4 linked regions of the Oreochromis niloticus genome follow. The protein of the gene in region 4 purifies or fractionates together with the protein of the main gene of each other region. This does not show direct contact. Links are inferred from orthologs where the notes say so. Each region holds a gene or a part of one and is shown on either strand. Other genes may lie near its edges. The genes, in order: asb7, rab40b, asb1 and rnf7.

Evidence for each region.
Region 1: the proteins of rnf7 (region 4) and asb7 purify together in Homo sapiens (co-immunoprecipitation; 4 studies listed by BioGRID and IntAct, with this or other methods). This does not show direct contact. The link is inferred for Oreochromis niloticus from reciprocal best matches to the Homo sapiens genes RNF7 and ASB7.
Region 2: the proteins of rnf7 (region 4) and rab40b purify together in Homo sapiens (affinity purification with mass spectrometry; 3 studies listed by BioGRID and IntAct, with this or other methods). This does not show direct contact. The link is inferred for Oreochromis niloticus from reciprocal best matches to the Homo sapiens genes RNF7 and RAB40B.
Region 3: the proteins of rnf7 (region 4) and asb1 purify together in Homo sapiens (co-immunoprecipitation; 3 studies listed by BioGRID and IntAct, with this or other methods). This does not show direct contact. The link is inferred for Oreochromis niloticus from reciprocal best matches to the Homo sapiens genes RNF7 and ASB1.

The regions. Positions count from the first base shown.
Region 1 is NC_031965.2:5,046,728-5,054,276, forward strand, and holds the start of asb7 (ankyrin repeat and SOCS box protein 7), read left to right. Parts: upstream 1-4,541; 5' UTR 4,542-4,804; intron 4,805-4,853; exon of another isoform or gene 4,854-5,101; intron 5,102-5,493; 5' UTR 5,494-5,591; intron 5,592-7,549. Other genes in the region: lins1 (protein Lines homolog 1), read right to left, coding at 349-939, 1,254-1,386, 3,477-3,566, 3,642-4,028. UniProt on the Homo sapiens protein: Probable substrate-recognition component of a SCF-like ECS (Elongin-Cullin-SOCS-box protein) E3 ubiquitin-protein ligase complex which mediates the ubiquitination and subsequent proteasomal degradation of target proteins.
Region 2 is NC_031973.2:1,795,069-1,802,948, reverse strand, and holds the start of rab40b (ras-related protein Rab-40B), read right to left. Parts: upstream 3,005-7,880; 5' UTR 2,602-3,004; coding exon 2,460-2,601; intron 1-2,459. UniProt on the Homo sapiens protein: RAB40B small GTPase acts as substrate-recognition components of the ECS(RAB40B) E3 ubiquitin ligase complex which mediates the ubiquitination of target proteins.
Region 3 is NC_031987.2:3,877,423-3,884,380, reverse strand, and holds the start of asb1 (ankyrin repeat and SOCS box protein 1), read right to left. Parts: upstream 3,010-6,958; 5' UTR 2,777-3,009; coding exon 2,680-2,776; intron 2,029-2,679; coding exon 1,890-2,028; intron 1-1,889. UniProt on the Homo sapiens protein: Probable substrate-recognition component of a SCF-like ECS (Elongin-Cullin-SOCS-box protein) E3 ligase complex which mediates the ubiquitination and subsequent proteasomal degradation of target proteins.
Region 4 is NC_031979.2:12,352,733-12,358,354, reverse strand, and holds rnf7 (RING-box protein 2), read left to right. Parts: upstream 1-4,014; 5' UTR 4,015-4,070; coding exon 4,071-4,236; intron 4,237-4,337; coding exon 4,338-4,385; intron 4,386-4,781; coding exon 4,782-4,900; 3' UTR 4,901-5,098; downstream 5,099-5,622. UniProt on the Homo sapiens protein: Catalytic component of multiple cullin-5-RING E3 ubiquitin-protein ligase complexes (ECS complexes), which mediate the ubiquitination and subsequent proteasomal degradation of target proteins.

The sequences.
Region 1 (7,549 bases), on a different chromosome or scaffold from region 4:
TTTGTCTTTGATTTGAATGGTCAGGGGGAGAGAACAGACACTGAGGGGAAACATTCAGCGTTTTTTTTGTTTGTTTGTTTTTAATTGTTTTACCACTGAATGTGCTGCTGAGATTTCTGGGTGAGAAAAAAAAATCCTATGAAGTTATGTCGTTTGCTAACCCAGTACTATCACGGTTATCAAAAAGAAGAGCTTCAAATGATTTGTTTTTAATTTAATTGGTTTAAAGTTCAGCAACACCTTTAATTGTACTTATGCAAAAATTATAGATCATCAAACATGCTGCACACAATCTCAAGTGTATATCTACTGGTGATGTTTTGTTTTTTTTTGTTTTTTTATTCTCACCTGATCCTGCAGCTGTTTGGATGCAAAGCTCTATGGACTTGAGAATAATCAGGCTGACAGCTCTCAGCATCACGCAATCCCAGTTCTGAATTTGATCTCCCAGAATGTGCCTGGTTCCTCCAAAGAAAGCGCCAGACTGCATTTGAATACTCAGTAACCAATTGTCAGAAGCTGCTTTTAACACAGTTCGAGCAAGAATGCTCATATCAGAGCTCCAGTTTCCACATGTCATCCATGACGCCACATCCCCTGAAATCCAGTCCTCTCCAGCCTTCTGAAGGATTGCTCTCTTTAGAAGAAGCAGCACTCGCTTTTTAACATAATACTCTGAGGAGGAGCAGATGTTTAGGAGGGCCAACGAGTGAAGGTGGGTTATTCTCTGACTCTTCAAATGGACACCAGCTCCACATACCAAACTAGAAGAAGTCAGCACCTCAAGCAGGTCTAGCAGTAGACATAATGATGTTCCCCAGTGTGTGCTTCTGGTAAAATCCACTAAATGCTGTGACATGTGTTTCTTCTCTTCAGGGAGCAGTTTTGAACATAGAACACTTAGACTGAGGTCAAAACCTGCCAGAAGTGTCATAAGCTCTAATGGAAGAAGAAAAAAAATGTGAGACTAGACAAAATCAACCATCATCCTGTAAGCATCATAGGTTGCTCTTTTCTGCCCATATCTTACCCCAATGAGTTACCCTAGCTAAAGAACAAATGATTTTATTTACAATTTCAATAACAAACTCATCTTTAAGTAAATTCATTGAAATGTTCAAAATCTTAAAATGTTCTGGCTGCAGTTTCTACAATTTGATAATTTGCTCATTTTCTGTATTTTTGTTACCATTATAGCCTAGATATCGTGGATTTTGGACTCTTTGAAAATTAAAATTACTAACACCGTTTACCTCGATGAGCTCCTTTAAGAAGTTTTTTGGAGACTTCAGTCAGTGACCACAAACAGGCATCTAATTCAGCACCAGGCCATGGGTTCTGAAATGCTTGTTCACATTTCCTCTGCCAGACAGGACTGATAACTCCCTAAGAAATTTAAGCATACAAGCGCTTAAATTCAGTTTTAAACTGTCAAATCACAACAACAGTCACTTCAAGGCGCTCAATATTGAAAGGTAAAGACACTAAAATTTTATAGAGAAACCCTAACAGATAACCTCCTATGAGTAAGGACTTGGCAACAGTGGGGAGGAAAAACTCCCTTTCAACCTTCTTTTTAAAAGGGAGTTCCTTTCCACTGTTGTCCAACCCGTCAGAACCAGGTCACGGCAGCCATCTGCCATGACCAGTCTGGGCGGGGGACTAGATAAAAGACATGCTGTGGAAGAGAGCCGGAGATGGTGAGTAAAAAAGGGTAAGAGAAGGAGAAACGTTCAGTGCATCTTGAGAGAACCCCAGCAGCCTAAGTCTACTGTTTAGTGCTACTGTGTGGATTCAAGGTCACGCGATTCAGCCGTAGCTATAAGCTTTCAGAAAAAGGAAAGTCTTAAGCCTAATCTTAAAAGTAGAAAGGGTCTCTGTCTCCCAAATCCAAGCTGGGAGCTGGGTCCACAGAAAAGGTGCCTGATACCTGAAAGTTCTGCCTTGCATACTACTTTAAAATATCCCAGTAACCACAAGTAAATCTGCAATCTGAGAGCAAAGTGCTCCATTGGGGTGATATGGTACTATACATCTTCCTGATGACCACAATTGATCATGTGGCTCTTTGTTGTTTCATCCTGGATAGTGCTTCTGACACTCACTAGCACTTGGTCTCCTTCCCTCCGCTCAGCGTACAGTCTCAGAGGGCTAGATTTGGGGTGAAACCCTACATGCATAAGTAAGAAGCTTCGTTGTCTTGATGTCAGTGGATTTGATCTCCTCCTTTGGGAGTAGGTGGCGATTGCCTTGATCTTGTTCTTCCCATTCAGCTACTTCTCAGGACTTGCCTTACTTGCTGGGTTGTTGTAGCTTTCCTAGTAGCCTTTTCATGGTTCCCAATTGGCTATTTTCAGTGTGTTGCCTTCTGATAGACCTTAGAGGACTGCACTTCCTCTCTTTTTTTACTATTAGGGTTCTGCTCATTTTGTGTAGCTCTATGAATTCCAGGTTCCATGTGTGAGGTTTAGAGTCATAGGCTTTCTCGTAGTAAGTCCAGGTGGTGCACAGGTTGGCCAGTCTGGTCTTAGTCTTGAGTGAATGTTCCAGCTACCAGTTGCTGAAGTTTTGCCCTTCTGGTGTTTCTGCCAATTCCTTTCTGGCCCCGCTCACATATTGAGCCATGTCCCTGTTCATCTTAGTCACTATGATACCTCAAGGCACTTTCACATAGGATGTGTCTTTGCAGCAAAACAGTACTCAATTGTCTTTTTAAATTTAGCATTTTCTGCCCGAGTAAAATATTATTTGAATTTGGATAGGTTCTGTTTAACTGTGCCAGAAAGGTTTGTTGTATATCTTGACTGCTGTTTTTTAAGAAACCTCGTACTTGGGACTTGTAGTGACTTCATAATGAATTTGCTCACCTGTGTTTGTGCCTGACATGTGTGCCCCGTGGGGTTTAATTATTATTGCATCTGTGTTAAAATATTCTAAGCCCCTATAATTTGCTCAGCTGTGCAAACAACTTAATTTCAGTTTTGGTTATTTACTCTTGCCTCATGTAAGCAGCAAGGTCTGGTAGTTTTATTGTGACAAGACACTTTTATATCTTAGAGCTTACCCTCTGTCGCCACCACAGTTCAGCACCCCAAACTTCAATGCCCTTCAGTAGGGCATCCCAGGTTGGTCAGTTTAAGGCTGTCCTTTGAACCACACAATACATTTCTCTGGATTCACTGAGTTTAGAAATTGAGCTTCATTCGTAAATTGGTGAATAACGTGCACTCTCCATCGTTGCTTTTGAAAAACAGTCTCTTGTTTTGTTCAGCAGAAACATCTAGACCCTTCTGGTGTCTCCTTTTACATTACTTTAAAACTTTGCTTTTTTCACCATTCTTAACATTATACACAATGAACAGTGTTACATATTTTTTAATAGTATGTGATTTACAGTAGGCTAAAGCGTTTCAGTCAACTCAGAGACGGAAAAAAAAACGTTGCTGAAAACGAATCTCCAAAGAATGACTACTTACAGATTTGCAGATAAGGTAAAAAACACACTTTGATGCTGTCTTTGCAGCCAGATGTGAGATAATGTGGTCCTCGGCTTGGAACCGGTTTACCTATGGAAAAGGTAATTAAATCAATTATTAAGATAACTTTACGTCTTTACTCCCATGACCAGTGGTAGCACTTACAAGGTGCGTGATGAGATCCATGTCTTCAAGCAATACTTTTAGGACCTCCGCATAATAAAACTTAACGTCTGGATGCAGCCCCTGAGACGTCAGATTAGAAGAAACCCTCTCGAGGAAAGACATGCACATGCAGGTCAGCTCCGCATTCTTTTCACCGCAGTACTCTGAGGGGGAACCTTCTCTGTCTTTACCGTGGACAGGTCCACATAATCCCGAATATATTACGCTCGCTACATCGGCAGCATTTTGGGGGGGGTACGATCCCGCAAGAAAGCATCTGTACGCTTCTGTCAAACAGTTAAAAAGCCCTGTCATTATGGACAGGTCTTCGTCTTTACAACTCATATTACCCTCCATTGCGCTGCTACTTCCGCGTGGATCTCCCATGTGATATACACGGAAGCAGCCCTACAAAATACGTGAAGCATTACCAAAATAAAATAAAAAAGTCTAATAAATGAAAATAGAACCTTATATTGTTGTTGTTGTTTTTACATTGTGGGAAATATATAATAGTGAATATAATAATAGCACTTTAATTACTTTAATGACCATGGATTTATATAATGTGTCTATTTTCAGAAAGTTCATTCCGTCAAACTGGACGTTTTCTGTAGGAGAAAGGTTTCTTCATCCAAACCACTAATCTCAGCTGACTGCAGAATAATGATGGAAACTAGCTCCACTGAATAACAATGGGCCGTGAGGTTAGTTTTATGATCATTAATCTGCAAATTGATTGATCAGTATAGCATCATCATATATGCACGCTTCCTTGCCTTTCTGATTTATTTTAAATTAATTGCATCCAAAAATTCATTTTATACGTCTGCTTTGCAAATGGTAGTTCTTGACGTGCTTGGAGCTGTGGAAATTATGCTTATATTGTGAAAGTCTGCAGACGGAAGTGTTATTGTTTTTGCTGATGGAGTCACGCTGGTGAAGCTCTTCGCAGACACTCTGTGATTAAGTCTTAGTGTTGGACAGTTAGATTATTCTTGTCATTACCTACAAAGATATAGATAAAAGTTTGACACTAGCTTCTTTGTTTAGTATTGTATTTGTGCTGAAAGTAACGGAATTATGCGGCTTTGACAACTTCAATCGTTCCGTCTACCTGAAAGCTGATTGGCTCAGTTACACGTCGGTTCAGCGTCTGACAAGTAAGTCTTTGTTTTATAGAGCTGCTGTTTTGTCAATAAAGGCGTAGAATTCCTTTTAATATCCACACACGCCGTGTTTTGGGGTTTATTTCTACCCAATTATAATAGTGTAAAAAGTAAAATGAAGCGAAATAAAATTAAAAACGAGCGAATGAGTTTGTTAGCTTTCTGGCTAACTAGCTGCAGCTAACCTTCTAAGAAACGTACAGCCGTAAACCATGGGTTATTCTAAAAGGATCTACTTTCATTACACTTTCTGGGGTGGTGGAAATGAGCTATCTTCACCGCCGAGCTTCTGTAAGTTATATCTGTATACTTGTGCGTGTTTTGTATTATTGGTCATGTTAGCAAATAAAGGCACAGTGTTGTCTATTGTTTCTCATAAACGAGTTTAACGAGCCAAACTTTTTAAGGTTTAAGGTAATGACAGATAGTTACATTTTCATTCATTTGCAAAGTTTTCTCAGGTTGGATAAAAATAGTGTAATTAGCAAGTTTACCTTTGGGTAGTGTATATGCATATAATTATTTTTTTGTATTTAACTCTCTGGTTATTACTATTGTTTGGCTGTTATGGTTTTCAGCAATAATTGGGGTGTATCCATGACCAATTGACTATGTCCGTTAGTGTTCACAATACTCTTCATTGCCTCTAATCTTTTTTTGATGACTGTGTTTGTGTGCCACAGGGAAACATATTCTCAGTTCCTCACAGTGTGCACCAGTACATCTGCAAATGCAGCTCTGATATGACTAAAAGAAGTCCATCTCTTCAGCTGGTCAAAAGGTACATTTTAGTATCTAAAACATGAGCTTTTCTTTCTTTCTTTCTTTTTTTTTAACAGCAGCATAATTTCTCCCAACAAGGAAACCACAAAAAACTTGCTAGACCTCTTTATCAAGTAATGGTTAAGCCTTTGTTAGCTGAAGCAAAAAAGTGACTGTCTCACATGTACATTTTCAAACAACTTAATTTATAATTACATTTTTGTGGGGATATATACAACTTTTATAGTCTTGTCTCTTTAATATTTAAATTCCAAGTTTTCTGCTTTTTATTCAGTAAGACTGAATTAAATTAATAAAGTTCTGAATGTCGTGGAGTAAAGATTTGTTTGCTGCTTTATAAATTATTTGTGCAATTCTGAGATCAACCAAATCTTTAAATTGAATTCAATGATTTTTTATCACAAATCACAACAGCAATAATGAAATGTTAATAATTTAATAAAAAATTGATTTGATGGTCTTTTGAAGTTTTGGTGTAGCTCAGGTGGTAGAGCACCTGCTAATCAGAACGTTGGTGGTTCAATCCTCATCTCTCCAGTCTGCGTGCCAAATATCCTTGGGCAAGATGCATCTGTCAGTGAATGCGTGTGAATGTTAGATAGAAAGCTTAGATAGAAACAGTATAGTATGATTGTGTGAATGAGGCAAGTTGTATAACCCATTTTGAGTGCTCAGAGTAGAAAATATACTCTATATTCCACCAGTCTGGATTTTAAGTCAAATGTGTTCAAGTGCAGACTTTGAGCTTTAAGTCTATGTTTTTTCAGAGTTTGGATTAACTGCTGAGAAATTTAGGGTGATGGAGGGGCTGGAGCCTATCCCAACTGCAGTACAGTAAGAGGCGGCTTACACCCTTTTCTTGCAGTCCCCTGTTTTTAGATGCTTAAAATTAACTGGACAGTTGTCTCCAAAGCAGTTTCCTCGCTATGTCATCGCAAATGAAGCAGATGCCTGAAGTTGACTCATAGAGCTGATTTTGTATTTGTAGTTTTGCAATTTTAAATATAAGTCTCAGACAGATGGCAGTGCATACAAGGTACACCATCACTAGGCTGGAAAAAAAAAAACACAATAAACCAGAGAGAGATGGTAAGAAATTTGGCAGTGGCCAGATCAACAGTGTGGTACATACATAAAACAAAGATTAACTTTAACCAGAGCGATGGGAAAAGTATTGAGAAGCAGAAAAGCAGCTCAAGATCAGATAGGCTCCTTTCCCATTAGTACCTGCTCGGTTTGAATCGCCACGACTCGACTTGGATTAACTGGTTTTCCATTATAATCAAGTACAACCTAATGTGTGTTTTCATTGTCATAGCAACACGTCCAAGTGTCCTGTGACGTAATTAACATGCAACACAAACGCTACAACAAAGGTGGGTGTCGAGGCAAGAATACACCTCCTGCTCGGTCTGTCGCTTTTCGGCAGACTCTGGGACCACGGCATTGTTCTTTGTAGCCATTTCCCTTATTGACAGCCAGGGCTGTGTAGAGATTTTTGAAGGGGTGGGTGCTGAAAGTTAAAAAGGGGCACATGGAACCAGAGTGAATAACAACAACCCATATTCTTCAAAAATCTAATATGGATTCGCATCATACTGTATCACTGTTATCAGGTGGGGATAAGGCAAAGCAAAGGTAGCCCATTTCTTGCCTGATGGGTACAATGTTGCTGTTGAGGTGTTGCTGCTGCTCCTGCTGCTGATAGTGCTGGAGGGCAGGGCTGTGTTGATCTGACACTGTAGACATTTAAAAAGTCTGTAGGAGATATGGTAGCTGATTGTGTTGTGAGATAATAATGAAATGCAAAGATCGGTGACAGTGCTTGGAACCGTAAGGCAACAGATTAAAAAAAACTGTGGGAAATGAACTAGGCTCTGCCTGTGAATCACTCTTTGCCTCTCTTCCTCCTTCCATCTCCTCATCTCATCTATCGCTGTCCACTTGCTGTCCTTC
Region 2 (7,880 bases), on a different chromosome or scaffold from region 4:
ATTTCTCAATAACTTTATCCCTGAGCTGTCTGCTGTGTTCTTTGGACTTCATGGTGTTGTTGCTCCCAATATTCTCTTAGACAACCTCTGAGGCCGTCACAGAGCAGCTGTATTTGTACTGACATTAGATTACACACAGGTGCACTCTATTTAGTCATTAGCACTCATCAGGCAATGTCTATGGGCACCTGACTGCACTCAGACCAAAGGGGGCTGAATAATTATGCACACCCCACTTTGCAGTTATTTATTTGTAAAAAATGTTTGGAATCATGTATGATTTTCGTTCCACTTCTCACGTGTACACCACTTTGTATTGGTCTTTCACCTGGAATTCCAATAAAATTGATTCATGTTTGTGGCTGTAATGTGACAAAATGTGGAAAAGTTCAAGGGGGCCGAATACTTTTGCAAGCCACTGTAGCTAGCCAAGAACCCAGATTGATAGTAAAGCTGGGTGTACGCAGACCCCGGCCCAGCAGGCAGAGCCTGAACATCAACAGGTAACAAACTGATGAGCAGTCAGCCTGCAGCTTGTTCCTGCCTGTTCAGAATCACCATGGTGACCACTCCAAAGTGTCTTTGTGCTGGTTTCCATCTTTGCCTTTTCTTCATACCTGAACAATAAAAGAAAGACCGTACCTGTGTCCTCGTTGGGACTGTGTTTCAGGACAATTTACGGAGTAATGAGAAAGCAATGGAACAAAAAAACTTTCTTCAGCATAATTAAGTAACGCAGTGCATCACTTTTAAGCAAAGTAATGAGTAATGTGTAATAGATTACTTTTTTGAGTAACGATTTTGCTCCATATTGTAATTCTTTGCTTGACTCACAGTTCAGAATAATCCTTCATCTCATACTGAGACAGCGGGCTGCCTCTCATAACAGAAGGTTTAAATAGCAAGTGGGCGGGGCTTCTGTGCCTGAGATTGACCGTATAAGGATATATCCTCCCTATGACATCATACAAAGCCAACGCCATAAAAAACAGGTATAAACTGAGTGTTTAGATCTGAGCTTTGGTCTCACAGTGATTAATGAACATAGGCTGAGCTGATTATTATCACTGGGACAGCAGATACATGTCATTTCACTGTTAGGAGACACAAATATTACTGACGGTGTATCTGTGTAGAATATTTTAAAAACAGGATAATTGGATCAAACTTACTACAGAGTTTTTATACATTTTCTATTTTTTGAATTTACTTCTTTCACTTCAGAATTAGACACGAGAGTGCAGCCTTCCTTCATCCAGGATGATTCAGAGACCACGTGGGTGTTTTTCTGCATCCACAAAGCATGGCGCTGGCCTGTCATCTGTGACCTTTGACCTCCTCACTGCAGGCTGTGGCTGGTGATGTCAGCAGGCCTTTTTATGTGCAGGGGAGATTTTTTGGTGTGTGAGGACTCACTCATCTCCTGAGCCAGCAGACTGTTCTCTGCTGGTAAATCGTTTTCTGTCCAAGTATAAAACATGAAAACATGAGTCTGCTGTAAACAGGTGAGTAACATCACCTGCTGCTGCTGCACGTCACGTCTGACCACGGTGGATCTCAGATCATCTATGAAACGGTCCTAAAAGCTCAGTTTGGACTTTTCTGCAGAGAGATGACAGCCGTGTGCAGGACGTTACATATTTAAATATGAAATCTGTTTTTATGACAGCAGGTTGAGCGTGTGGTCATGTGACTCGTGAGCACAGCGTGTTACATCGTGTGTCAGCGCCTCAAGCTGGAGAGCTTCAACTCGTCCTGTCGCCCTCCTGCAGGCCGAGCATGAGTCATGAGCAGCTGCCTGCCAGCGTTTACTAACACACACACACACACACGCACACACGCACACACGCACAGACCATGGCAACACGGCTTCAGTATTACAAACTAAAACGGTGTGTGGAGCTTCTAATGCTTCCCAGAACAAAGCTTCACTGCAGTTCCTCTGACGTCCACAGGGGGCAGGCTCTGAAACCAGCCAATCACTACTGCTGAGTGACATCACAGTGATTATGTCCAGTTTTTATACGCAGTGGATCCAAACCATCAGTTGGTTGGATGGTTTCTGCTCACCAGAGAACAATGCATATCTTAACAACTATGGCTCTTATTTTGAAAGAGTAAAACTTGTGAACCAGTTAAAATGCTTTCAATAATAAAATACACTCAGCTGTTTATTAAAGTAAATTAGATACATTTATTTAGTTTTAAGAATAAACTTGTGAACTTATTTCACAAAAACTGCTTTTTCTTGTAAACTTTAATCACTAACTTTCATTTTTCACCTCAGAATAAAATCTTTTCACGAAGCTTTGACGTCAGAGAGGCTGCTGTGGGGAACTGGAGCTCTGATGGAGGCGCTTAAAGTTTGAGTGAACATGAAGTCAGACTCCTGATGGAGGACTCGGTGCCAGCAGCCTCCACAGATATCACCAGACAGGTGAACCCACTCCCCCACTCACCCATGTTGTAGCCGTACGGGGACTCGGTGGCTCCGTCCTGCAGGCTGGCCAGGATCTCGCCTTTCCCCACGTCGCTGTCGCCCACCAGCAGGAACTTGAGCAGAAAGTCGTAGGCGCGCGTCGGGCTGCTTCTGTGGCTCATGCTGGCGACGGGTGACGGCTGTGGTGTCCCATCCTGAGATGAGAGCAGGCTTCCTCCTCTCCTCCCCCCAGGACCCGCACTCAGACTGGAGCGTGTTCAGGAGCTGCTCGGAGCGCGTCCAGCTGTGCCATCGGCGCGCTTTTACGCACAACGGTAAAAATCCTCTGCAGGTTGAAGTCCAGGTCTGCTCCCGGACTGAGGAGCAACTCATGGATATCTGGCCTCCCCCCTCCCTGCTCCAGCTGAAGATGTGAGGGAGGGTGTTTATCTCGGTTTGATTGGGCAATCGTCCGAGTTGCTAGGGCAACCTTGAGTCAGGATTGGACGTTGGAGACGTCCATCAGCGAGTGGGACAAGCTGTGCGATTGGCTCACTAAGTGACGTCAAGCTGAACAGAAATAGAAAAGGCAACTATTTCCTGTTTGGATTGAGAAAATAAAAGCATGACAGCGGCTGGGCGGAAGAGATGCTTTACATAGGAACAGTCTAGAGATGAGCCTTCTGACAGACACCACTCTGGGTTTGATGAGGCCGATGTTCAGATCAACAAGTGCAGCACTCGGAGCAGACTGAGGTTACATTTACAGGAGATATTTTATGATGTCCTTCTGCATCTCTCTGAGTTTTGTGAAGCAGTGACTGTTGGAAATGTCTTAATGCAGTCAAAGGAAGAAGTTTTCCTCCATCAGCTCATACTCGAGTTACCAATCACTGACTGAAAGTGTGACAATTTTATTTATACAGCACCAACTCATAACAGCAGTCACCTCAACAACATTGTTTTGGCTGTTTTGACCCTGCCCAACCTGACAAAGATGAATGACATATTTGGTTGCAGTAAACCCACAAACTCTGTGGCAGGGTGGGTCCTTCCCCGGGAGCAGGGAGTGGGGGAGTTATCTTTTTTGTGTTGTGCTCTGGTTTCCCCGAGGCCGAGGCACAATAACAGTAGGGTGACCATATTTTGATTTCCAAAAAAGAGGACACTTAGCTCAGTCATGAAGAACTTGTTTAAAGAAACATATTTAACATATTTAAACGATGCCTTCTCTGTGCGGTTAATGAATTGTGAAATAAAATATGTCATATAGGCTTTTACAAGTCAACAAGTGCAAAAAACCCCCCAAAAAACTTAAAAACCTCTGGAATTAAATAATGGTACAGAAATAATGCCTCATCTGCATAAGAAAAATTACCAGTACTGGGTCGGTATGAGGGCTGGACTGGGACAAAAAACTCGGCCCGGGCATTTTGACTAGAGACCGGCCCACCAGGTATTATAGGAAAAGCCATAAAGCCTTTGAATGAAAATGAACCCTGTTGTGACAGTGATGTACAGTCTTGTTGGTATATGTATGATTTCTATACATTTTACATCAGATAAAAACTTTGGTTGTAAGATTCAGATAATTATTTATTAAAAGCGAGACATTTTAAATGAGAGTAAGAAAGAAAAGTATTTCCTTGTGCCCCCCTTTCCCTGTTAATGCCCTACCTGGCCCCCTGGCAAAGCTTTGCTAGACCCGCCCCTGCACAGTTACCAGCTGTCAGCTACGTAGAAAAGGATCCTGGTGTTATTTGTCTCTCAGAAACAGTTCATAACTTCAACTCATCCATGTCACCTAAAAGGTAAACCTGTTTCTCCATCACCTGTTCAACTCTGATGATTCAGTAAGGACATCTCCTGGTTTCATCTGCATGTTTCTGTCATCCAGAGAAGGACAGATTTTGTTTTGAAGTTGTTTTGCTTTGCATGTTTTGCTGTGTTTCAATGTGGAGTGTTTTTATTTATTTTTTGTATTTCATGTTTTGGTTATATCTGTTAACTTGTCCTGGAGAGACTCCGCCCTTTCCTGTTTACTAATTTGACACACCTGAGAGGTGACAGCCGGTGGTGATTTAGAGAGAGTGCTCGGAGACGCAGGAGGACGGCGTTGGTGGAGGTTGGTGTGCAGTACGTGGCGAGGGCATACGACGGCCAGTGAGCGTAGAGGCAGAGGGAGCTGTGCTGCTGCGGGAATAGCTGGAGGCCAGAGGACGCTATGGTGGGGGATTAGTTGGCAGTGGGACAGCGCCCTACCTCCCACGGCGAGACCATAGTGCTGGCGTGCTACAGAAAAGCGGCGGGCAGAGTTAGGAGCTCTGCCCATCCGGGATAAGTCTCGCGACTTATCGTACTGCAATAAACCGAGCCACTGGAAAGAACAGTGACTGTCACTGCCCCTCTCTTTCCAGCACCTCTGAGCAGAGAGACTGCCAGGACGGGTGAGGACCCCGCCGGGTTTTCCTTGCCCCGCTCCGATTGGCTGGATTTTGACTTTTAGTGACTTTTACGCCGTGGCGGACGCCGCTGGACCTTTAATGTTTATGTTTTATTGATTTTTATTGTGTGTTCTCCGTGGCCAGTGTTGTTTTAATTGCTTTTAAATTTTTAACTGTTTTTGTATAATAAATTATATTTTAGTGATACAGTTTTTATATCGTTCTATTCCCTTGGCTGCTCCACTGCTCCGTCCGTTTTTTAGAATAACACCTGTTATCCACCATTACGTTTCCCTCTCACCACATATCCAAACCGATATCATATCACTATCAGTAACATCACAGCACCCACCCAGCTGTGTAGAAACTCCGTCATGCTAGCTAGCACGCAGTACGAGTTATTGTAACTGACTGTAAAAAGTCAGCACAACGAAAATAAACTCCACCTAAACTTGGTTTATATCTGACCCAGATAGACTGCAGGTCATAACTTCTTACCTGAAGTTCAGTTCACCTGACACCAATGTTCCCTCTAAGCTGCGCACGTGCGCAATTGCGCACTGTTGGCACGGTCTCTGCACAGAGAAAATCTGCGTTGCGCACACCAAAAAAAAAAATCTAACCTGAATTGAAATTAAAGTAAATATGTGCCGACACCGGTGTTTTAGCGAGCAAAGCGGCATGGCTGATGTGGAGTGAAGCCACATTAATGACAACGTGTCCAACCATTGGAGATGTGAGCAGGACAGACGGAACAACTGACGGACAAAGTGTGGACTTTATACCAGTTTTTAAATTGTGTTGATCGGCCACGTAAAACCAGAGTTATGATAAAAATATCTGCAATGTTTGGTTTTCTTCCTGAATACTGTCGTTGTTTATATTTACTGCGGGAAGAAACGGCAAAAACGGCGTTTTATAAGGAAAACGCTCGAAAGCCTGTGAGCAAAAACAAAACCAAAAACCCCCACCCTTTCCTATTCGTCCAAAAAAGTACGTGTTGACCAATCAAAAAATGATATGGCAACGTGGCATCTAGTTGTTAAGAAACAGGGGGAAGTTTTAGGAGTGACGGCGGTGTTCTGAGATGTGAGAGATTTGAGACGTTTAGTGCAAATCTTGTGTAGTTAGTGTGTAGTTAGTGTGTAGTGTAGTCAATAGTTTTGTTGGTGTGTCAGAACAATGAGGCGGCTGCTGAATGTTACAGGTGTTACAGCAGTGATACATCTCCTGCTGTCAGGCCTGCAGGTATCAGGCTGTTGTTCTCCTTTATCTCATAGTGGACAGAAATTAATTTTTGGAGTGGCACAAATAATTTGTGTGGCATCAGATTTGATGCAGAACAGCTGATTGTTCTGTAAATAGTTTGAAATGTTTATTTAAAAACGCCTTGGCTGCATTTAAAAAAATAAATAGCTGCAAAAAACTTTGTTGTTTGCCAAACTGAGTTACTTTTTTGAAGTAGTAACTATATAATTAATTGCCCAACATTGGTCATTATATACTGTATTTTGCAGACAGAGTTACAGGACTCTCTCCCAGACCACAGACTCATAATACAAGTCAGAGCTTTATGGAAAAAAGAAAGAAAGTTGTGTTTTCAAAATTGGAGTTCAAGTTATTTTTACTTCCAATAGTGTTAACATACTACACAGGTCATGAACAGGATTTTTTTTAATTTTCATTGTAAGTGGGATAAAGCAGTTAATTAAAAGTAGTCTAACATAAATGTAAATGCTGTGATTTGATCATTTTAATAAACCATGTAACTTGGATGGATTAGATGCTGGCGTGACCACAGTGCACACGTCTGATGTCGCTCACAGTGGTCCAAGGGACGCTCAGGGAGTTTGTGTGTTCGCTCAGACACATGAAAAATTAAACGGTAAATGGTCTGTATTTGTATAGCGCTTTACACATCCAGTCATCCACCCATTCACACATTGGTGTGAATTAGAGGGAACATTGCCTGACACTCGGACTGGCGGCCGCCTCGGGTCTCTCCTCCTCCTGCCTCCCCTTTCCCTCATCCACCTGCTGGCCTCTGTGGAAGCTCCACCATAGACACCACCAAACAACTGTTTTTTACACATTGGCCAGCATCTGGCCAATCCATCACCTTTTGTTGTTTATACCGTTACAGCAGCAGCAACAACAACAACAAAACCATCAGTCCGTAAAAACGAAAAATCACCATCGGCCCACCGGTGGCCAGTCCAGCTGTGGTCGGTACGAGGGAAATTTCTTTTGCAGTTCGTCTGAAAGATGAAACATCATTAGGCGCGTTGCTGCGTGCTGTCTGTCCCGTCTGTGAGCGCAGAACAAGCGCTCACAAAACAGCAGTTTGGGGATGACGTCACACACATGGGTCCTCTGTCGGAATACAGGAAAACCTGGACATTTTTATCAACCTCGAAAATCCCCCCGGACGCCCCGGACAGAACGTGAAAAGTGGACATGTTCAGGGGAAAGAGGACGGTTGGTCACCCTAAATAACAGCAACAGCAGATATAAATTAGTGACTACTGTAAATATGAAAACATCCTTTCAACCTGTCAGGACTGTTTGAGGTCAGACTTTAAAGCTTTGAATTTATCTTTTCTCCTTTATGATTTTTAAATAAAGTTTAACTCCTGACTTCGGTATCCAACAAACAGGAAGCAGCAAACAGTGTTCAACTCAGGATTCAGCTTTATTGATGACATCCAGCAGGTGTCAGTGTCACACCAAACTGCCGTGACATTTGTTTGTTGCATCACTTTGATATTCATATACAGTAAATTTCACACAGACATTATTTTAGGTTTGTCACATTAACAGCTGTTGACAGGAACATGCGAGAAAAATGATAAATGCTTTACTGGAACAACAACCAACAACCATCACTACATTTTTAGCCGTTCTTTCAAGAGATTAACTGATCCTCAAGAATATTTTTAAAAAGAAAATGATTCTAGCGTTATGTAGATCACTGATACCCAATGTCCCCCTAATTAACAGAAGCTATAATAATGGAA
Region 3 (6,958 bases), on a different chromosome or scaffold from region 4:
ACATAAAAGCTATAATTTCATTTCCATGTCATTGAGTGAAGTAAGTATTTCATCCCCTACAAACCAGCCAGCATTCTGGCTCCTACAGAATACAATCATTCAGTCAATAACAGAAACTCCTGATCTCAGCTTCTTATATGTATAAAGCACACATGAGCATACAATCAGTTTCTTCCATTTCAACCTCTCCAAAAGATGTCGAAGGTCATCAGGGGTAAGATGGAAGGCCTGTGGGTGCGATTATTCAGAAACTGAAGAAAAATAAAATGACCATCAGTCGCCCTCAGTCTGGAGCTCCAAGGATCATCATGAGAAAAGTGGTGGATCAGCCCAAAACTGCATGAGAGGAGCATGTTAATGGTCTGAAGGCAGTTGTGACCTACACTGGTAACACACTAAACCATAATGGATAGAAATCTCACAGCATCTGCGAGCTCTCCCCTCTGAGGAAAGCACATGCAACAACCTGCTTTGGGTTTGCCAGTGAAGAGAAATACTGAGTATGACCCAAAGAACACCATCCACACATCCAAGCACAGAGGTGGAAACATTATGCTTTGGTGCTGTTTCTCTGCTGAGTGTATAGGACAACTTCACTGCATTAAAGAGTCCAGTGGATGAGGCCAAGTACTGTAAAATCTTCCATCAGCAAGAACACTGATGATGGGACTTGGATTGGTCTTCTAGCATGACAATGACACAAAACATCCCACAAAGGTTACAAAAGAGTGACTGAAGAAGAAGTACATTATGGCCAGTCTCCAGACGTCAGCCCTACAGGAAATCTGTGGAGGGAGCTGAAGCTTTAAGTTGAAACATAAAGCATTTAGAGAGTTTCTGTGAGGAGAGGAGATGTTTGCAAACCTGATGACCAACTACGTCTTACTGCTGTACTTGTCAACAAAGGTTTCTCCACTAAGTACTAACTCATGTTTTGCTTGGGGATCAAATACTTATTTCACTCAATGACATGAAAATAATTTATGATTTTTATGGATTTTAGTTGATATTCTGTACCTCTCCATTAAAATGAAACTACCATTAAAATTAGAGAATGTTTATTTCTTTGTAAGCGAGCAAATTTAAATGTTCACTAGAGGATCAAATCATTATTTCCCTCATTGCATGCATGCCCATGACTATGAGATGGCCCTGTATGTTCTCCAATTGGTAAGTCCAGGCTCTGATTCTGCCGGCAATACAGCATCAATAGGAGGAAAGACTGAAGCTAACAAGAGCAAAGCATTTTGCTGTTGTTAGCAAATACAATGCTTTGGTGGTTACTGGACTGAGCCACTGAACGGTTCTCTGTGTATTTTTAGTCCTCCTGTATTGCTGCAGGGCTGCTTCCCTCCACAAGGCTTCCACAGATATCAGAGTAGTAAACTGTATGCTTTTTACTTTTACTACATCAAATTTAAATTCTGTTACATGCACTACATTTGTAGTATATTGCTTTGACATTGCATTGGCATTAAACTATGATCCTCTAGCTGTATGCAGTATAATGCTATGGGTATTGGAACACACCCATCCTGCTGTGAGATGATGGTAACAGCAGCCTGCTTCTGGTCTGTGTTTACTCCTATGAAAACGATTTGGAATTATGGTATCTTTGGACTTGTTTTGGGGGAAAAGACAGTTCTGCTGTAAGATACATTAACAAATAGACTATTCTGTATTCTTTATACAAAATAAATCTATAGTCTCTCCCAGATTCTGTTGTCTCTCTGTCTGCAATATCATCCCATCCCTCAAAGTGCAGCCTTTGTTTTGGTACCTTGCCATTTTCATTTGTATTGACGTTTTGCTTTATCATTTACCAAGTAAAGCATGTGTTAACTTTGCTAACTAGAGTGCCAAATACTCCTATTACTGCTCGGCCTCACCGTCTGAAGCCGTCTTCCTGCAGCAGGTTCCTCAGGGTGTCCAGATCGCCGACATAGGCCGCGTTGTGGAGACGCATGTCATCCTGCTCCAGGGGTTTGTCGCAGAACTGCTCCTGGAGCCATTCCTTCAGGTTACGACCTGCCAAACACAGCATTTCAGGGAGAATAACAGAAATGAGAAGCTGGTTTTGTCTGGTCTTGCAGGGCGATTTGTTACCATACAAAATGATATTTTGCAGAAACTATTCTGCATATTATCAAGTGTAAATTATATCTCAGCTCCCTTATAGATCATATAGACAAAATACACATAAGGTGGCTGCAGATGAGCAGCATTGGTGTAGTGACATTTTCTCCATATCTGCTCCACGCTGTGCTCAGAGAACTCCCACAGATTGAGATGTACACAGTAAAACAGCTCCTTAAATACACATTAAAAGGATCCACGTTACATTAGGCTATGTTCTTTCTATTACCGGGAGCTTTTCTGCCTGAGTCTACTGGTCAAATCAATCCATTACAACTCTATTACTTGTGTGACTAGACAGAAAAACAGATGAAGTGTCACTGCTATACTGCAGCACTGGAGATGTGAACGCTTCCGGAATCCATTGGCCACACCTTATTAGGCTACACACCGTCCCCTTCTTCCTTCTCCCAACACCACCACATCTGTAATATGTCACGCATATTGGCCGTGCTCTTGCAAACGGGGCACAGTTGCAGGACAGCCTGTGGGTGCTTGCGATGATCAATCATCATCGCTCACGGCTCTCGCAGCCATAGTTACCTGCAGCTGTAGCGCTGGGTAGATCGGACACGGTGATGAGCGGGGGGAAATTGATACTGGGCGGGTCGTCAACATCAGCCTCTGGACCGTCGGCCATGCTCCCAAAATGGTCACAGCGTGAAGCTGAAGGTTTGTGCTGCGGCTGCAGAGCGACACTGGGTCCCCAGAAATAGAGAAACCCAAGCGACCTGGGATCAGATAAGAAGCATGAACGTAAACAAACGTGACTGTGTTGATGAAGACGTCTGCTGCTCCAGCTCACTGCGCTACTTCCTGGCTGAGCTCAGCTGCTGGGATTTAAAGGGGAAACGCTGCGTTAAACGTGGAGCTGATGGTCTCCGACTTCAAAGCACTTTTAACCCATAAGAGATCAAAACATCGCCAACAAAGGCCTAAACGATGTTCATTACGCAATCATTCAATACAAAAAATGTTTCACAAGCGTGCGTTTCTGATAGCCTGTACATAAAAGATGGTTTTGATGCCTTTTGTTTCCATAAAACTTTAGGGGCACATCATATTTAGAAGTCTTCCTAAAGTTCATCACAGTCTCCAATAAATATCAGTCACACTTTGATAATTATGATCGACTAAATGTGTTACTTCCAAGCCTAAACGCCTACATGTTGCTTTAAGGCCCTCACCACAAGACCAGGCATTAAAGTTTAGTGGAAAAAAATCCTTTATTTTTCCGCCAGGACACGTGTCAGAATTAATTATGCTGAATTAAAAATGTAGCAGGCCACTGCGTTACCTCAAATGAATGTGAGGCATAATTTGATGAATGTTCATAGCTCTGCGGTGTAAGTCAAATATGAGATTTGTGAGATCTGTGTGTAGTACGAAGAAGACGCTCTGTTTAACTGATAGTTGCAGCTGAAATTCTGCCAGCTGTGCTAAAACTAATGAGTAATTTTTGGGTGGGCAACATACACCAGGCAGGCAGGCAGCTATGGCTCTCTATGCTGCCTGCTGACAGACATGAGGTCCTGGTGGTGCTCTAAAAATAAACGGACAGGTCAGCAGAGCCATGCGGCCCCATAGGAGGACGGACTGTTTACAGACTGCCATCACTGAACATGGAAACCTGCTGATGGTTAAGAAAGTGCACTTCAGCTAGTTTCATAGTGTTAGTGATGGTGGTCAGTAATAACACGAAATCTGACAAAATACTCAGGTTAGTTCTCACACACACAATCATTTAAAATTATAATTTAATTAAAACAGGATACTTGTGTGTTTTATCCACAGATTAAAGTCGCAAAAGTCATTTCATTTTCATTTGTCTTCAAGATTAGTGAAACTCAAAACAAAAGCAAAAGAGCTTTTGAGCTTAGTACAAATTCAGAGGACAAAGCTCTGAGTCACTTTGTTGTTGAGGCCTGCACTGCATAGTTAAACAGACACGCACAACTGAGGCTTGCCTTCTTTAGCACCGTGTGCTGAAGTCTTTCTGCAAAAGGAGCTTCAGCTAAATCTCCAGGTTGCAAAACAAAGGCTCAGCTGCTGTGAAAGTGATGCTGAAGGGCGTCTTACAAAGATGTCTGCAACAGCGCTGCCATAGAAAGTTGCTGCTACGGTGTCACTGGAGGGTCTGCTGGACGAGTCTTTCACATAAGAGTCTGCTTGAGGGTGTGATTATCAAAAATCTTTAAAAAAAAAAATACATATAAATAAAATCAAATAAAATACAAAAATAATACCAATCTTATTCTGGGATAATCTAGACCAAGCTTAACACCTTCAAACTGCACACAAAAACACACAAAAATGAGACAATTCTTTATTGCAATGTAACCATTTATTTCACTCCACTACAAAATTATATAATTATTTGAACTATGATACAGTCTCCACATATACATAATGTACAGTTTATAGTGTACACGATAAAAAGCCTTTTAATATAATGAATGAGCATGCGGGTTCCCACTTTTCCAGACGAGATTTTTGAAATGAGATTTTTCAGAATGCTAACATTTCCTGTAGGTTTTCCAATTTATTATTTTTATAATACTGACATAAACATGGAGATAAGTCAGACTACAGTGTATTTTGCCTGATAAGTCCTTCTTAAAATGTAGAGTGCCACATTTTTTAAAGACAGTCACATTATATTTTTCCCCTTACAAACAAGAATGCAGTTTAAATTAAGATCAGAGCCTAGAAATGTCTGCCCACTGGCTTTCTGTTCTACACACAGTTTCAAGCCTCATTTTTCCACCAATGATTCCCAGCCCACATGTTGTGTCGGCCACAAGTTTGGTAACCCACAGGTTTGGTAAGGCAGGCAGAAATCCTAGTCTGAGCAGAAAATAAATATTTAGGTGGTGTAAATATTTGTGAGAAAGGGAGTCGCTGTGCAGTGTACAAGTCGCCACAATCGCATATGAAATAAAGCATCTAGTTTTGAAAAAAACTGCGTTTAGTGGTTATGATGGAGAAAAGGTGTAATGGATTCCATTCATCAAAATCACCTACATTTCACAGGAAGTGTTATTTTCCAGCAGTGATTTTCTGTGTAATTGTGTTTTCTGGGAAGAAAATGTGTAGCAGAACCAACCAGAATAACAAGCTGTGTACAAGTCTTAAAAACTGTAAAATTACTGTAAATTACTTTGTGTGTGTGTGGTTACGGCACTTTCACTCAGCAGCCACGCAAAGTTTGTACTTTTGTTTCATTCACATTTGGATGACTCTTTTTTCACCTTTTCAATAACAACATTTTCAGGGAAACTGAGGCAGGATCTTGTTTCAGTCTCTCATCTCTACTATCCAACTTCCAACAAGTCCAGCAATGTTCATGTTAGTGCAAAGCATTTCTTACGAGTTGCAAAGGAAGCTAGAAAAATATGAATTCATATTTTTCAATGTATAGAGAAAGCTTACAAAACTTTCTATCAGTTTGGCAGTACGACAGTACAAGATGGTGGCTGCCCTGCATGCTCACTGCTTTTTTCCTTTAAAGTATACAAGCTTAGTGTATTTATAAAAGAGTTAGAAATACGACAGAGTGTGAACATTGCTTATTGCAAAAAGCTTTTTTCTAAAACAGCTCTAATCAAAGTGCAGCAGTGCCTCAAAAGTGGAAGAGTGTTTTTAAAGTAGCGCAAGCCGTTTTCACTCATGACCTTCGGATAACAGCTAAAGAACGAAGACTCCAGATATTGTCGGTGGTGTTCTCTCTCACATGCAGCACACACAACTGTGAGCTCACAGTTTGGTTCACAGTTTGCTCTGGGTAAAGCGTGCAGGATGCGTGACACTCACTGACTCAGAAATCACCGCTCACATCTACTTTTCTCACAGGGGGACATCAGACATTACACAGACTTTGCACTAGTGAGCTGGCAGAGTAAAGACTGTTTCATGTCGGAGCTGACTGTGACAGTTCTCACAGATGGTTGAATAAAATGTGTGAAACTGCTGTAGAGAAAATTTCAGAGCTGTCTTCTTCTTCTTTTCGATTTAACACAGATAGATTTGGTTTATGAAAACTGTAAATGTCAATGAAATGTTAAAAGGTTGGAAAATGTTACTGGACAAATTCATGCCAAGACACTACATTCATGTAACATGCGTTGTTATCAGCTACACTCCAGGCCTCTCTGTGAGCGTCTGATTGTTTTGTAGAAAATGTAAACGTTCTATCTAAACGTTCCTCCTGGTTTCAATCAGCTGGATGTGCCGTGAGTATGTTTAATTACTGTTACGGGTCTGCTCACTACTCTGGTCAAACTGCATGTCAAATATCAAGTGCTCACAAGAATAACATGCCGAGTGCACCACGCCCTCAAAAACTCGGTGATTAAATGAACGAGGAAACATTTAAAATTTGGTCCAGTGGATGAATGTGCAGCTTTCTGCTGTAATGTTCAAGTTGTGAGCTGTGCACTGGCTCAATGCACAAAGGCACCATTTCAAAAGAAGGGCCAAAGATTGGGTTAGGTTAGTGTGCAGATCATAAAGATGCATTTATTTATTCATTCATCTGTCAGTGTTTTCAGCTGCTACGTCTCCAGCATCATCCACTTTTTCCAATCCATCATCTAGGTTTTTGGGAACAGTTTCAGACCTTTAAACCGTCAAGTGGCCCTTTCTCGTACCAATATCTTAAAGTGGAGTAGGAATATATTTGGTACCATCTCCTGGTCTGAAAACCCAAAAGTGGTCCCGTAATTCCACAACACCTCCAAGAAAAATGGCCTTACCATTATTCTGAATGAGAACCCACTCCCGCCTGAATATTCAGTGCGTTTTTGGGGGTTTTCTTTGTGCA
Region 4 (5,622 bases):
GCAAGCTAAAGCCATGCGCTGGCTTGGTACTGAATGGATGATCGAGCATGCATCAGGATTTAAAGTGAAGAGCAGTTCAGAGTAAGTTTGATATCGATGTGGTTCAGTCTTGTTCTCACGTTGACAGCGGCGTGCTCACTATTGCGCAGGGTACCTGCACAGAAAGACTGCTGGTCTTTTAAAAGATGTGGGGGACTTATGGCCTTTTTTAATAATATCAATCATACAGCCATTTAAATACAACCACAGAGTGTGGAACCAGTGTTTAAAATTCATGGTTTAAATACGAGGGAATTAATTCGTATTTCTAAATTTATTGATCTCTGTATCTGAAAAAACAAAAAACAAAAAGTTCTACTTAAAATCAGAAGTTACCCATTTTGAGTCATAGCCTTAAGCTCGATTTAATGGAGGAAAGATTACTGAAGGATGTTTCAATGGACAACAATTTGTCTTTTAATTAGGCCAATAAGTTTTTAATACCAAATTTTAACTGGGGGCTGCTCTTCAAGACAGGACAGTAGATTTGCTGCTGAGCCGGCAGCAATGTTAAAGAGCCTGACCTGTCTGCTGATGTGGTCCTTTCAGGTTCATAATCCTAAACTAACTTTCAATAAAATGATCACAAACAAGGTGACATCTGACTGACAAACAAGGAATCTCTGTATGTGTATGCACTAATTGTGACTGCAAGTTTTTACTCACTCTGATGAGCAGCAGTCTCATACTTGGGGTCCTATTGGACCTCACAGATATCACACTCTTCCTTGACCTCATAATGATGTCTTCAGTTCAGATACTTCTGTGTGGAGTTTGCATACTTCCCTCTGTGTCTCCACAGGTTCTCCCCGGGTACCCCGACTTCCTGCCACAGTCTAAAGACATGCATGTTAGGTTAATTGCTGATTATAAGTTGGTCATACTTGTAACTGTGAGCATCACGATTGCCTCTCCTTGTTAGCTCATAATAGCTCATAATAGACTGCTGAGTTGTCCAGAATGTACCCCGCCTCTCGCCTAGTGACAGCTGGGATAGGCTCCAGTCCCCCACCGACCTGAGTTTGATCAGCAGTTGTTAAACAAATCCCAACAGTTAGCTGGATATAGGAAACAAAAGTATTTTATGGAGATGTCACATGAGGTGACATAAGGAGGTAAAAGTAGTATCTTAAGTGATTTAAAGACCTTTTAGTGCTGACATTAGACAAAGCTCCAGCTTCCCCTCAAATTCTTCAAACATTTAATCATTCAGGAGCATTTGTCTGCTTGCTTTTAAATTTTGAGTTGAGAAGAGGATGGGAAAGGAACTATATGATTTCACTGCTTCTCTTCATTTGCGTGTTTGCACTGGAGTATTAGAGGTTGTATAGTCATATGTTAAACATAGCCTATCTTTGTTTGGTAAACGTTATCTGCATTTAGTTGTTGGAGGCTTGTGAAAGGTGTCTGCAGCCATAAAACATGCATTCAGAACACAGAAAAATCTTTCTGACAGAGTTATATACACCAGTCATTTATAGCATTATAACAGCCTGCCTAATATTGTGGCGGCCCCCATTTTGCTGCCAAAACAGCACTGAGCCATTGAGGCATGGACTCCACTGAAGGCGTGCTGTGGTATCTGGCACCAAGATGTTAACAACAGATCCTTTAAGTTCTGTAAGTCATGAAGCGGGGCCTCCACGGATCAGACTTGTTTTTCCAGCACATCCCACAGTTCCTCGATTGGATTGAGGCACTGGGGGATTTGGAGGCCAAGTCAACACCTCAAACTCATTGTTGTGCTGCTAGAGGCCACAGCTATCAGGGAGTACCGTTTCCATGAATCAGTGTACGCAGTCTGCAGCAATGGTTGGCAGGACCTGAGGTTTCCTAGCAAAACTGTGCTTGAAGCATCACACTGGCTCTTGCCTTCTTCCCATAGCGCATCCTGGTTCCAGGTGATCTCCAGGTGAGCAACACACGCACCAGCCATCCACGTGAAGTAAAAGAAAACGTGATTCATCAGACCAGACCACCTTCTTCCACTCCTCCTTGGTCCAGTTCTGATGCTCACAGGCTCATTGTTCATGCTTTCATCTGTAGACAGGAGTCAATATGGGCATCCTGACCGGTCTGCAGCTACACAGCCCACTACACAACAAACTGTGTATTCTGACTGTGTTCCACCAAAACCAGCATTAACTTTTTCAGCAGTTTAGCAGTAGGTTATCTGTTGGTTCGGACGACCCTGTCGCTGGTTCACCACTGTTCTTTCCTTGGACCACTTTTGATAGATACTTAGCACTGCAGACCGGGAACACCCAACAAGAGCTGCAGTTTTGGGGATGCTCTCACGCAGTCGTCTAGCTCCCACAATTTGGCCCTTGTCAAACTCGCTCAAATCCTTACACTCGCCCATTTTTCCTGCTTCCAACACATCAACTTTGAAGACAAAGTGTTCACCTACTCCCTGATACATCCCAACCACTGGCAGGTGCCGTGTTGAAGAGATGATTAGTGTAATTCATGACAGTGGTCATAATGACCTGATCGGTGTGTATTTAATCTCTTGGTGAAAAACTGACAGTTTCTGCACACCTTGCTGCACAAAATGATGTTGAAATTGTTGCTCTGTGACCTAAGTAAACACTTTACTGATCAGTATATGGGTCTAAATGGAAGGTTCAAAGCTCACTGAATATTTACCCTACAGATTGTTATAGTTTCTTCTTGGTTATTGCAGAGATCAATAAAAAAAACGATAAAACAATGACAAACACAGTTTAGCAAAATAGCAAACAGCTTTTTGCTTATCCCTTATTTCCCTTTTCCCTTTTATGCCAGTCTGAGTTGACTGAAACTCAGGATGATTCAGTGTTTTGGAATTGCTGGCAGAACTCTTTGACTCCATTGTTTATTAAATCTCTATCTAAGTAAGCTCCAACAAATACATATAAACAGATTTTTGAGAGAAAGAGTACATTAAGAGTTTATTTAAGCAATTTTCTGTTTTTAGTAAACATTTGCCAAACAGTGTCAAGGCAATACATTTGTAAAATATTACTAACAAGATGATTTATGTTCAGTGATGTGCAAAAGTGGTTTTCAGTGATTTTCAAAATGGTCTTGAGCAATAGCTTTCCAGGCTTTCTGTGGGTCTGTCAACATTTCATGGTACACTGGCTGCTTTTTCATTTATTTTTAGTCCAATCCTGGTACCTGAACATTTTTAAACACATTTCTTTAGTTAAATCTATAAACAATGAAATCCAGCCGAGACCCGACAGCTGGCCCATCAGCTGATTATCTCACCAAAATAGGTGTAATTATGAACTCAGAAAAGTACCATCATGTTTTGATCCACCATTCAGTACCACACGGAAAATATCTAATTGACAAAATAATTAAACAGTAAAAACATATTGGACTCACTCATTGCAAGCCCATCAATCATGGATGGGCCTCCCCGGAGCCCGAACCTCAACATTATTGAGGCAATGTGGGATCATTTTAACTGAGAACAGGACACACAGACAGCCAACATCCAAAGAAGAGCTTTGAATGTCCTTCAAGAAGCCCGCAGAACTATTCCTGAAGACTGCTTAAAGAAATTAAAAGAAAGTTTGCCTAAGACAGTTCAGACTGTGCTGAGAAATAAAAGTTGACTTTTAAACACGCTAGAACTGTACTAATTCTGTTTTTGGTCTTATATTTTCAAATGTAGTTTCTTAGAGAAATATAAAAAATGGGGGAGCCTCAAGACTTTTACACAGTACTTTAAATATACTTCTTAAGATTTAATTATGTGATGTTACCATAAAGTATTGAGGACATTCAGTATTTCAGAGATTAAACTTTTTCCTGAATGTAACATAGGTGTAAAGAAGCAAAATGAGAAAGTGAAGCAGAGACTAGTCGGTGTGCGGTTCCTTTGGGACGTGGATAATTCCTGGTAAACAGCGCCCTCTTCTGTTTCTATGGAGACAAGACATATGCTAAACCTACTAGCACTGGCGCTAGCATCACCCAGCTGTTTCATCCATTTTGTTTAGCCTAGCTAAGCTGCGTGTATTTACAGTGCGGCAGAGATGGATGACGGCGACGAGCCGGGTTTAGTCCTCTCTCACAATACTTCGTCGGGCTCCAAGTCGGGTGGGGACAAGATGTTTTCTCTGAAGAAGTGGAATGCTGTAGCTATGTGGAGCTGGGACGTTGAGTGTGACACTTGTGCCATTTGCCGAGTACAAGTAATGGGTGAGTCCGAGGAGCTAACGGAGCTAACTTGGCTAATTGTACCTTTAAAACCCGAACGGCCCGGCGTGTGGAGGTACTCTAACATTGTTCTTCATTTTCAGATGCGTGTCTACGATGCCAGGCGGAAAATAAACAGGAGGACTGTGTTGGTAAGACCCTGCCAGCACTGACATATTTATTAGCAGCACAGACACTCGGCAGGTTAATCCAAAAAAAGAAAAGAAAAACAAGCTAACAGTAGCTAGTTGGAGCTGTTAGTCAAACTCGCTGAGTCAGGCAAAATACAAGATAATAACCTTTTACTTTCTTCTTTCTTTTAAAATATAAAGCAGAGATTTTATATGACCATTTATTAGCATTTTGATATAAATATAAGGTGTCAAAGGGCACCTAATCTAATCCTTGGGGGTGCTTTTTTGCATTGCAGTGACATTTGCATGGTAAATGCCTTTTAATGAATAGGACTGTCGTGTTTTGTTTTGTTTTGAGCTTATTGTAAATGGTTTCTCAATATGTGCCACTCGTGCTCTGCCTTTGTGTTTCAGTTGTGTGGGGAGAGTGCAACCACTCCTTCCATAACTGCTGCATGTCCCTGTGGGTGAAGCAGAACAACCGCTGCCCCCTCTGCCAGCAGGACTGGGTGGTTCAGAGAATCGGCAAATAAGCTGCACATCCAGGTGGATTACACCTGCGTGCACCCCAAAGCGGTGACAGACTTGGCAGTGATCAGTGCAGAGCCTTGTGCGGAGCCGCTGACACCGCAGCTGCCCTCCTGCTTATTGATTGCATGTTTTCAGTAGTCCGGTACCAGAGGAAGGACAAAATGAAAGCTGCACAGACTGGTTACTCATGGAGTCCTGAAGAAGATGGATGAAATATGTTGAATTGTTTGGTCACTTGTTAGCTTTACATTGGTGTCTGTGGTGGTGTTTGGCACACCTTGAATATGTGACCTTTTTCTCTTCTTTTTTTTTTTTTTTTTTTTTTTTTTAATAAAGACTTGTGAAGATCTGTAATATGTGTTTTTTTTTCAGTAAGAAGTTTGAATAAACTGTGTATGATATGATGTGACTCACTGAACACTTTATTAGGTTTAGATGCTTGTTATCATCATATCTAGGCACGTAGGTGTAGTCTGTGATCTACAGAAATTCAAACGGCATCAGAATGAGGAAGAAAGGTGAAGTGATTTTGAATGTCTCATTATTGGTGGCAAACAAAGTAATCTGAGTATTTCACAAAATGCTAATATTCTGGGAAGATTTCTTGATGTCAGAGGAGTTTGGTCAGACTGCAGAGTATGCAGAAGAGCATCTCTGCAGGTGCTGAACCTTGAAGCAGATGGGCTACAGCGGCAGAAGACCACCACCTTCTGTCAGCTAAGAA